Linked DNA regions of Arabidopsis thaliana. The protein of the gene in region 1 interacts with the protein of each later gene in a biochemical or structural test. Each region holds a gene or a part of one and is shown on either strand. Other genes may lie near its edges. The genes, in order: D6PK and PIN3.

Region 1 (5,246 bases):
TGAATTATTTTGGCTGACTTTAGTGAAACAAAAACAAAACTGGAAAGAACATTAAAATATTAAAAAATATTAGGTAAACGAATTTGCGTGTAGAAGTTGTTTTGATTGATAATAAATAGAAATCTCTATCATTATATTTATAAGTTACAACAAAGAGATCTAAACCAAACTCTAAACTAGTTTTTTTGGAGCTTACCAAAAAAAAAAAACTAGTTTTTTTGGACATAAAAGAACTAGGTATTTTTGCTATTTAAAGCATTCACAACTACCACCAATAATGATTAATCTCATTGTAGGAACACTCGAATCTTTAATTTTCACGATAAATCTTTTAACCATTGAATCTCTATGAATTTGTTAAGAAAATAATATAATTAAGACTTTGAGAGGACTCGATCTAAATCTAAGAGTAAACCTAGAAACTTGTATAAAAATGGATATTCTTACCATTTAAATGTTAAAGCATCCTTAGTGACAGTGTCCAGCTATGATTTAAATTGTAATGAAGAAACTTAGAAACCTTAATCCCTCAAGTATCATGGTAAACAAAACATTTTAATAAACTAAACCTTTTATTTTGTTATTATTGCAGTATTTTTAACCTAAAGAAATGGGATTATAATGAAGAAAGATTCCCCACTCGCGTTTCACGTCACAAGCCGATCGTGTAGCAATTGTCGTTATTGGATCTGAGCTTCTCGATTAAAAATTGACGCAGTAATTGGATCTAATAAGAGCATGAGGTTAAAATATGAATTATTTGAGATATGAGGAAATGAACAAATTATACCCACTTGTGTTCTTTTATGTTGAACAATCTTCTGGTTTGTCAACTACCTGTTGAACCATTTCTAAAAAAACATTGTTTCTGTTCGATTTAAATGTGGGGGAAAAAAAATAAAATACATGAAATATAATCTTAGAATCTAAGGAAACTTATTATTGGGCAATAAATAAGAATTTGCTGAAAAGTTTTAGGGGCATCTTTTGGAACTCTCAAGTTTCAAACAATGGTGAGTCTAATTTTAAATAATTGTTTGGTGTGTTTAGTAAAAAAATAAAATAAAATTAATACACATGACCAATTTACGTATTTGTTATTAGGGAAATTTTTTAAAGGTTTATACAATTTTGGAATGTTTAGTTATTTTTAAAAACTTAAAAGATTTTTTTTTATTGATTTTGGTAAATGACAAAAACTTTCACTAAAAATTTGAAAACAGAATGTTTGACGGATGCTAACAAGCTTTTAGAAAGTATTATTTCGACCATAAAATTGGATGAACACTGGATGTAAATGGAATTGATAACAAAAGAAATCGAGATATAAAATATCTATTGTTATGTCTTCATTCAGCTTATAAGATTTATCATCTATTGGCAATCCGAAAAGATGCAAAACTCTTTGTGATATGGTATGCGCTAATGTTCATTTAATGCCTCAAGTTTCACCCATTAGAACACAAGAAGAAACTTCCGAAGATGCTGCATGATGACGAAAACATACGCTTAGGACGATGTTTTCCAAACCGCATAAATAAAACAGAAAATTATAGTTTGGTGGCACGCATATGGGATTGTCCTTCTAACAAAAATGTGCATTCACAATAGTTCTTACTTAGAATTGCTAAACTGAAAAACTCGTGTGAAAACTTAAGCTAAATATGTAAAATCCATAAATTTATGCATAGAGGTAAACATCAATTTTTTTTATCATCAAGTAAAAGGCACATGACAGATTCATGAGAATAGATGAAAGATAAGAATGTTGAATTTTAATAATTTAAATTGATGTGTTTAATAATTTAAAGAATCAAAAAGGAATTTTTTTGGTAAATATATATAAAAATTTCTATAGACAATTATTTAGAAAATCAAAATATAAAGTAAACATGTAGGAAATATACAATAACATGTATCAATAAAAATTTGGTTGCCCTAAAAAGCCTAAAATTATTAACAGCTCGCGAGAGCATTCTTGATGTAAACATATGTCTTCCATTTTGGAGAAAACAAAAAAAAATACATTGAAATAATTGAAATTCCCTCAAAATAAAAAAAATAAAAAAAAGTATTCAACTTTTTATTTGACCCTCTCTCTCCTCTTCCCTCTTTTCATGGTAGACCCAATTCTCTCTCTCTCTTAACAACACTCTCTCCTCTCTCTCCCTCTCTCTATCTATCCCCATTTCCATGGAAGCAAGCAGATGTGTTCTTACATCTCTTTCTCTCTCTACAGCCTTACATGAACAGTGACTGTTCTCTCTCTTTCCCTCTCCTTCCTTTTTTCTTCTACTTCTCCTTCCCTTTGCTTCGAAAAGGGTATCTCGTGATCTTTATCGCTCAAAAATCTTCACTTTCAGGTAACGATTTATTGGGTCTCTCTCTCTCTCTCTCTCTCTCTCTAAAGCTCTGTTCTTTTTATTTCTTCTTTTTCTGGGTTTTATTCTCTGATTCTTGCTAGATCCAAAAGTTCTTTATTTTGCCTCTTCTTCTTCTTTACTTTAACGAGATCTGTTTTTACCCTTAAAGACTCAAAATAAAAATCCAAACTTTTTGCATGAAGAGCTTTAATTGATTTGTCACTTAGATTTGATATTTCAATTTGGGTAAAATTTTGTGCATCTACTTAAACTTTCATCTGTAGTAAGATCCGTGATTGTTGTTTCTGAGTCTTCTCAATCCAGCTTTAAACTGATGCTATTGTTTTGTTTTGATGACTATAGATCAGGCCACTCGTTGATGGAATCTGTGACAGTATTGATTACTAGAGAGTAAAGACAAGTTCTTTAAATCTCAGGGAAGAAGGAATTGGTGTTTAAGATTGCTCTGTGTTAATGATGGCTTCAAAAACTCCAGAAGGATCACTTACCAATTCCAGTCAAAGTATGTCAATCAACACTTTAGCAGATCAAGTATCTTCGAGTTTGTCTTTCGCTGATCCAAGTAGTGATGGCAAAACCGGTAATAGTAAGATCAACGAGCAAGGTGAGAGTGGAAAGAGTAGCACTTGTAGACCAAGTACAAGCAGTGATATAAGCGATGAGAGCACTTGTAGCAGCTTTAGTAGCAGTATCAACAAACCTCACAAGGCTAATGATGTGAGATGGGAAGCTATTCAAGCTGTTAGAACTAAACATGGTGGTTTGGGTTTGAATCATTTTAGGCTCTTGAAGAGGTTAGGATGTGGAGATATTGGAACTGTTCATCTTGCTGAGTTGAATGGAACTAGGTGTTATTTTGCGATGAAGGTTATGGATAAAACTGCTTTGGCTAGCCGGAAAAAGCTTCTTAGGGCTCAAACTGAAAGAGAGATATTGCAGTGTCTTGATCACCCGTTTCTTCCGACTTTGTATAGTCATTTTGAGACAGAGAAGTTCTCTTGTTTGGTGATGGAGTTTTGTCCTGGTGGTGATTTGCATACACTAAGGCAGAGACAACCCGGGAAACGCTTCACCGAGCAAGCAGCTAAGTAAGAAACTTTTTCTAAACTTTCTTTATCTAAGAATCTAGTTTTGTGCGTTTATATAACCTTAGTGACTTGCTGTTTTGCAGGTTTTATGTCGCGGAAGTGCTTCTTGCAATGGAATATTTACACATGCTTGGGATCATTTACCGTGATCTGAAACCCGAGAACGTTCTTGTGAGAGATGATGGGCACGTGATGCTTTCGGATTTTGATCTCTCCCTGAGATGTACTGTGAGCCTCTCTATAGTCAGATCAGCTAATGTTGGATCCGAAGGCTTGTCGAAGAATTCGGTTTCTTGCTCGCAACAACCTGCATGCATCCAGCAACCATCTTGCATCTCAATGGCTCCAACATCTTGCTTCGGTCCTCGGTTCTTCTCATCGAAATCCAAGAAAGACAAGAAACCGAAAACCGAAAACGGGAACCACCAAGTAACTCCGTTACCAGAACTCGTTGCAGAGCCCACAGGCGCCCGTTCTATGTCTTTTGTTGGCACACACGAGTACTTAGCTCCAGAGATCATCAAAGGTGAAGGACATGGAAGTGCAGTTGATTGGTGGACCTTTGGGATCTTTCTTTATGAACTATTGTTTGGTAAAACACCGTTTAAAGGGTCAGGAAATCGAGCAACGCTCTTCAACGTGGTTGGTCAGCCTCTTAGATTCCCTGAATCTCCGGTTGTTAGCTTCGCAGCTAGGGATTTGATAAGGAGTTTGCTTGTGAAGGAGCCACAACATAGATTAGCTTATAAGCGTGGAGCAACAGAGATAAAGCAACATCCTTTCTTTGAAGGAGTGAATTGGGCTCTGGTTCGATGTGCCAGTCCACCGGAGATTCCTAAACCGGTTGATCTTGAAGCTTTGAATCCTACTCCTACTGTGCCAGCAGCCGCATCTTCGAGTGTAAGATCTGATCAGAGTAATTATCTTGAGTTTGATTTCTTCTGAAGAAACTGTTTCCACAGTTGATGATTCTCATTATTGTTTCTTTGCAAATTCTGTTTAGTGTTTTCTACAAATGTGTTTCTTTTTTTTTCTTCTTTTTAATTTTCACGTCTTGGAAAAAGTTATGAGATTTGTAATCATTCTTCAAAGTTGTGAGACAGTCTCTGTACCATCTTCTTGAGTTTAATGTTAGACACGAACCATTGAGAATCCATTAATCCACCATATCAAAACCTCAAAAGTTCCTTGCTTTTCATTGATCTGAACTCTAAACCAAATTGACTAAACCCGTAATTACTTACAAATGGATATATAATAATCATATGTTATCAACAAGCAGTTCTTACTTAAGAGTTAAAACCCTCTTCTAACTCTGTACAGACGAAGAGGAAACAACTAATCTAAAGACTGAGATAATTACCATTGCATAGAAGCTAAATATAAAACACATAGCTTCATTTCAATTGTTTATAGCAGTTATAAGCAATAGCCACAGATGCAGCAGCACAAGCAACAGCTAAAGCAGCATATGTATCTTCTCTCTCCCAAGTCTCCAACCACATTGACATCACCGCACAAACCTTGAATCCACCAGAAGATCCATTCTCGCTGCTTCCTATCCGAAGAGATGCATTTTTTACAGAGGTTACTCTCTCCGAGGTATTTTTCTCTGTGTGAATCTCCTCCAGACAGTAAGAGGAGTTCCCATTTTGTTGGCAACCACTACCGTTCAGCTCTGGGACAGCTCGAGACTGGCAACAGATACTATTATTAACTGATTCTTGAGTCACCTCTCTGTTGCTGATCTTTTCGCTGTTTAATTGTAACCTTT
Region 2 (6,267 bases), on another chromosome or scaffold:
TTATTGCATATAGTGTGTTTATTAAATGATACTGTACTTTAGTTTCTGTTTTGTATAATACTTCTTTTTCTTTACAATAATATTTTAGTACTCTATTGAACTCAAAGTTTGACCAAAATTTTAGATGATATTTTTGTAACAATTAAAAGAGGGCACATTTTTAAACTTAGCCATAAACATTTTGAGTCACTCAGTCATAGCCTTATACGCACAACACTGTGTGTACTAGCTTTATTGTGGAATATGTATATTTTTGTGTAGATCTTTATGTACATTAGCTAGAATTATCAATTATATAAACACTTAAACAGATGGAATAATTTGGTAGTTAATGGAAATGGTTAAGCTGACATATGAAGTGCTTCCAAAAGTTCCCTAAATCTTTTGCCGATATCTAGGATTATTTATTTTGTTAATTGAATGTCAATTGAGTGAAAATATTAAGATATAATAATAGGTTGATTCGATTATGATAAATAGTTGAATAAAGTGTATAATATGGTTTTGTAAGGACGGCAGATTTTATCTTAGCTTAAATCACAATTAATCATTCATGTTTGGACTTATTCGAGGAAGTTGTGTCAAGTAATATTTTATGCAATCAGAAAGATACAGCAACACTAAGTCACAAGAAGGTCACGACATTCTCTGTCTCAGCCATTTACTCATGTGAAACTTTGGCTCTGTACTAAAAAGGTAGTAATGCCCATATCGGGAAAAAAAATTATAAGAATAAAATACAGGAAAATATTTTTTTCTACTATATAAGTGATTTAATGATATATTAACTAAATTTATACAATAAATTGAGCTATTTGGTTTTGTAAAACTCATAAATAAAAATGACATATATTAACTATACTCATAAGTACTACATTGTGATGATAATATTTTAAAACTCAAATATCAAATCAATAAATGTCTAATATCAATTTCATTGATAATTCATTTTTGAATTTTATTTCTCTATTAATCTATTTAAAAAGATATGTTTACCGCTAGCCTCCAACCACTAGTTAGAGGTTAACCACTGTAGTTCTAATTTCAGTTCATCTCAATTTTTGTTTTGGTTAAAAAGTTTAAACCGATCATCTCTACACTAAATTCAGATTTTAGTTTATGTGAACAAATAATTCCGAAGCGACGTGTTAACTAATATCATGAAGGGGAATTAGACAGAAGCTTAACGATGAGAATATAGGCTAAAATTTATGTCGTCCAAGGAGTAATTGAGTGTTGCCTACTTCACGAGACAAATAAGTAAACCTAACAATAACACATAGACACACTCGACGCCATTAGCCAAATTCCATTTGAGCCATCCAATTCCTTAGTGGATCTTCTTTGTCTCCAGCCCATCTTGTCTCCTTATTTTTCTAATGATTACTTTATAAAAAGTGTTTTATCAAACATCACAAAATATAAAAAGAATTTCCAAATACTTTTGATATTTAACTATTGCTTTTTTGATTATTAGCCGGGGTACCAAGATATTAGTTTTTAATTTAGTAATATACCCATATGTTTAATATTGATATCGATATTGATTTATTCATATTACGAAAATGGATTAGTTAGAGAATGTGAAAGAAAGGTAAAGTAAAATATTGAAAAGCAAAGATTAGGGGACAGAAGAGAAAAGGTATGTCTCTGCCATGCCCATCCCCAAAAGTAGAGTGCCACATGTAGACCTTCTTCTTAAGATCTAACTCAGATGCTATTTGTACAAGTAAAAAATGTGGCAGACTCAGTTTCTATTTTTCCATATTTTACTTTAATCTTCATGAATCATAAAAAATGAAAAATCAAGCACATGAATGTCACTGAAATTATTCAACAATATTCTTATTTATCAGTTATTTTAATTATTTGACTATTTATGTGTATGTTGTTATCTACAATATGTCCGTTTCAATCAGTCGAACAAAAAATACTAGATTTTAGTTATGTAGTATAAAATATAAAAATGTTGAAAAACACTCTAACCATTAATTTGTATTATTTTAAACTTTCCATATGATGAGATGTATTATTCAATATAATAATAAAAAGAATATTATTTAATAATTAAACAAAAACATAATAAATCTTATAAACAATATCTTAAAAGAAAAGAACTATATTGTTATTTTTTTGATAAGATCGATAAAAAATGTAACATACTAAAGAATAAATAAAATAAAATAAATTAGTAAAAAGGAACTTGGGTGGTCACGTATTTGCTGTATAAAGAGGTGTAAAGTGGCATCCTTCCTTAAATTATATCCTCAAAAACCAAACTTGCTCACTCCACACACACACTGCTCCCAAGTCCTCTCACTTCTTCTTCTTCCTCCGACACCGTTGCTTAACGGTTTTCCATTTTTGTCCCTTCAAGATGATCTCATGGCACGACCTCTACACGGTCCTCACCGCCGTGATTCCTCTCTACGTGGCCATGATCCTCGCTTACGGCTCTGTCCGGTGGTGGAAAATCTTCTCACCCGACCAATGCTCCGGAATCAACCGTTTTGTCGCCATCTTCGCCGTCCCTCTCCTCTCTTTTCACTTCATCTCCACCAACAATCCTTACGCAATGAATCTCCGGTTCATCGCCGCCGACACTCTCCAAAAAATCATCATGTTGTCACTTTTAGTCCTATGGGCTAATTTCACTCGCTCCGGTAGCCTCGAGTGGAGCATCACAATCTTTTCCCTCTCCACACTTCCCAACACTCTTGTTATGGGGATTCCTCTCTTGATCGCCATGTATGGCGAATACTCTGGTTCCCTCATGGTCCAAATCGTCGTCCTCCAGTGTATCATCTGGTACACGCTTCTCCTTTTTCTCTTCGAGTTTCGTGGCGCCAAGATGCTCATCATGGAGCAGTTCCCTGAGACGGCTGCTTCCATTGTTTCTTTCAAAGTCGAATCCGACGTCGTTTCGCTCGACGGCCATGATTTTCTTGAGACCGATGCAGAGATAGGTGACGACGGGAAGCTTCACGTCACCGTGAGAAAATCCAACGCTTCACGTCGTTCGTTCTGCGGCCCGAACATGACTCCACGGCCGTCAAATCTCACCGGAGCTGAGATTTATAGTCTCAGCACCACTCCTAGAGGCTCTAATTTCAACCACTCTGATTTTTACAACATGATGGGTTTCCCCGGTGGTCGTCTCTCCAATTTCGGTCCGGCGGATATGTACTCCGTTCAATCATCTAGAGGTCCAACTCCTCGACCTTCAAACTTCGAGGAGAATTGCGCCATGGCATCCTCCCCGAGATTCGGGTATTACCCTGGAGGAGGAGCCGGGTCTTATCCGGCTCCGAATCCAGAGTTCTCTTCAACCACCACATCTACCGCCAATAAAAGCGTCAATAAAAACCCGAAAGACGTTAATACGAATCAGCAGACGACTCTTCCAACGGGCGGCAAGTCAAACAGCCATGACGCCAAGGAGCTTCACATGTTCGTCTGGAGCTCAAACGGGTCACCCGTTTCAGACCGGGCGGGTCTTAACGTTTTCGGCGGAGCACCTGACAACGATCAAGGCGGAAGATCTGACCAAGGTGCTAAAGAGATCCGTATGTTAGTCCCAGATCAATCTCACAACGGCGAGACCAAAGGTTAGCAATCTTTAGATAACTTTCTTGATAAGTCACTGCAAATTTTCTCAATTCTGTTTTGTGTGGTGAATATAGCTGTAGCTCATCCAGCAAGTGGAGATTTCGGAGGAGAACAACAATTTAGTTTCGCCGGAAAAGAAGAAGAAGCAGAGAGACCAAAAGACGCCGAGAATGGTCTAAACAAACTTGCTCCAAATTCCACGGCGGCGCTACAATCCAAGACAGGTCTAGGAGGAGCCGAAGCAAGTCAACGAAAAAATATGCCTCCGGCGAGTGTGATGACAAGGCTGATACTGATAATGGTTTGGAGGAAACTCATCAGAAACCCAAACACTTACTCTAGTCTCATTGGACTTATTTGGGCTCTCGTCGCTTTCCGGTTAGTAAATCAAAATTAATTGTTTTCTTAACTCGAACCAACCGGTTATCGGGAAATTTATTCCGGTTTTTGAATTGAAGGTGGCACGTGGCAATGCCCAAAATCATTCAACAATCTATCTCCATTCTATCTGATGCTGGTCTTGGAATGGCAATGTTTAGTTTGGGTAAGTCTTTCTTCGTACTCTGTTTTTATTCCTCTCGAAATTTTAGTTTTGAAGCCATTTAAATGAATAAATATGATTCATACCAAACGTCTTACTTGTCACGGAAAATTTCTAAATTTTGCATATTTCGTTGACATATTAACTCATTTACATAACAATGGAATTAAATTAGGTAGTTCATAAATTTATATGCTGTTTTTGTCATTGTGATTTATATTATGAAAAACAAAAAATTGGGGATGGACCATCCGACAGGTGGGGCTATGTTGTGAGTGTCTTATTAGATAAATGGTAATGGTGGACGACATGGTCTCGTGTTGTTGATAGTCGTCATGGTCCCCATTTTTATGGGACTTTATTGGATTTATTCTAGATATATAAAATTTTATTGATTACCTGATTTTGAAATTAAACTTTATGTGAAATAATCGTGAAGGGTTGTTCATGGCGTTGCAACCCAAATTAATCGCTTGTGGGAATTCAGTGGCAACGTTTGCCATGGCGGTTAGGTTCCTTACGGGTCCGGCCGTGATGGCGGTTGCTGCTATAGCCATCGGATTACGTGGTGATTTACTGCGTGTCGCTATAGTTCAGGTAAAATTTTCTCTCTCTTTTTTTGGTTAAAACTATTTTTGGTGTAATATGAAAAATGTGAAAATGTTTTGGTATGGTTTTTTAGGCCGCATTACCTCAAGGAATTGTGCCCTTTGTGTTTGCGAAGGAGTACAATGTTCATCCTGCTATTTTAAGTACAGGGTAAGTCAAAGATTTTATGATAATTATTCCATTAGCATATATGATTACTAATGCAATCCTTTCAATAACATTTAACATTGTGATAACTTGAATGACTTTTCAGGGTAATATTTGGAATGCTTATAGCGCTTCCGATCACGCTGGTTTACTACATTCTACTCGGGTTATAAGCTTTCGGTTATGAAAGCCCCGAGAAAGAGTCAATTGTAGAGGGAGAAGGAAGAAAGGGAAACTAGAGAGTGTCTCATGGAACAAACTAAAAAAAGCTTAGAGTATGTAAGTACAACTAGGGAGTAGCATGATTTAAGGAATGCTGATGCCAACATTACAAGCCAAGAAACCCTTTCTTCTCCCATATTTTTTATATATAGAATATTGGGAGATTATTTGAGTGAGACAATGGGACGCAGATAAGGAGGAGCAAAACATGGGGCAACGAGACAAAGAAAAGATAAATAAAAGATTGGAAGATGAAGACAACTTATTATTTTTGTAACTTTTATTTTTCTTACACAGTCTTTTTTTTTTTTTTTTTGTGTTCTTTGATTAGGTTCGGGTAACTCTTAGTTGATTATTGTGTAGATTTTTTTTAGCGAAGAAAAGTGTGGTTTTGATTTTGAATATTCCCTTGTTCCAGTTTCACATGAGCAAATAACGCTTTAAAAGTAAACAGTTTATATTATTATTCTTAATTAGTACTATTGTGATCAAATTTGGTGGCTTTACTGATTCTTTTCTGCTGTAGTAAATGATGAGAGTCGTAGTGGGAGAATTGGGTTAGGCGCTTTGGCACTGAAAGCATTTCGTGTTATCATTAGTTTAAGCTGGTAGTGATGTAATTAATAGTCCATGTAGTGTGTGTAGGGATGATGAACAATAATTATTTAAAAACAAAAAGATAAAGAAAAGGCAAAAAGATAATTAAAAGTCAAAAAAGCTTTGTCTAAAGTTTAATAAAAAGCTCCTTTTCATTTCTTTATTTGTTTTCTCTCTTTCGAAATTGATTTTTTAAGAAAGTAGAGTATTTTTTTTTCTGTCAACAAAGTAAAAAATGGATATAAGCAAATTGACTGAAAACGACCGTGTTTAGTTTTTATTAATGTAGTTTATCAGAGTTTTCCGCCATTTTTTCTCGTGTTGCGGGCCGATTTTTCCTTCCTAATATTTGAAGTATAGTTAACCATGCGTTTGTTGGATATAAAGTATGTTTAACAATGAAATATTTTTGTGTTTGCCCCCAATTTTTTTTTTAATTGTTTTTGTATTTGAGACAATGGAATCTTAATTTTATGTCATATTAGTTTTAATTACTAATAAAATTTAAACTAAAAAATATAGAAGTTTTGCAGATTTTGTTG

What was found.
Region 2: of the proteins of D6PK (region 1) and PIN3, one has a biochemical effect on the other in vitro, tested with the Arabidopsis thaliana proteins (one study listed by BioGRID).

Annotation. Positions count from the first base shown.
Region 1 is NC_003076.8:22,639,226-22,644,471, reverse strand, and holds D6PK (D6 protein kinase), read left to right. Parts: upstream 1-2,057; 5' UTR 2,058-2,363; exon of another isoform or gene 2,364-2,609; intron 2,610-2,726; 5' UTR 2,727-2,837; coding exon 2,838-3,472; intron 3,473-3,555; coding exon 3,556-4,417; 3' UTR 4,418-4,659; downstream 4,660-5,246. Other genes in the region: AT5G55900 (Sucrase/ferredoxin-like family protein), read right to left, coding at 4,870-5,246.
Region 2 is NC_003070.9:26,740,793-26,747,059, forward strand, and holds PIN3 (Auxin efflux carrier family protein), read left to right. Parts: upstream 1-2,147; 5' UTR 2,148-2,377; coding exon 2,378-3,608; intron 3,609-3,683; coding exon 3,684-3,987; intron 3,988-4,067; coding exon 4,068-4,153; intron 4,154-4,589; coding exon 4,590-4,747; intron 4,748-4,832; coding exon 4,833-4,909; intron 4,910-5,012; coding exon 5,013-5,079; 3' UTR 5,080-5,677; downstream 5,678-6,267. UniProt on the Arabidopsis thaliana protein: Acts as a component of the auxin efflux carrier; this activity is enhanced when activated by PID-mediated phosphorylation. Seems to be involved in the lateral auxin transport system.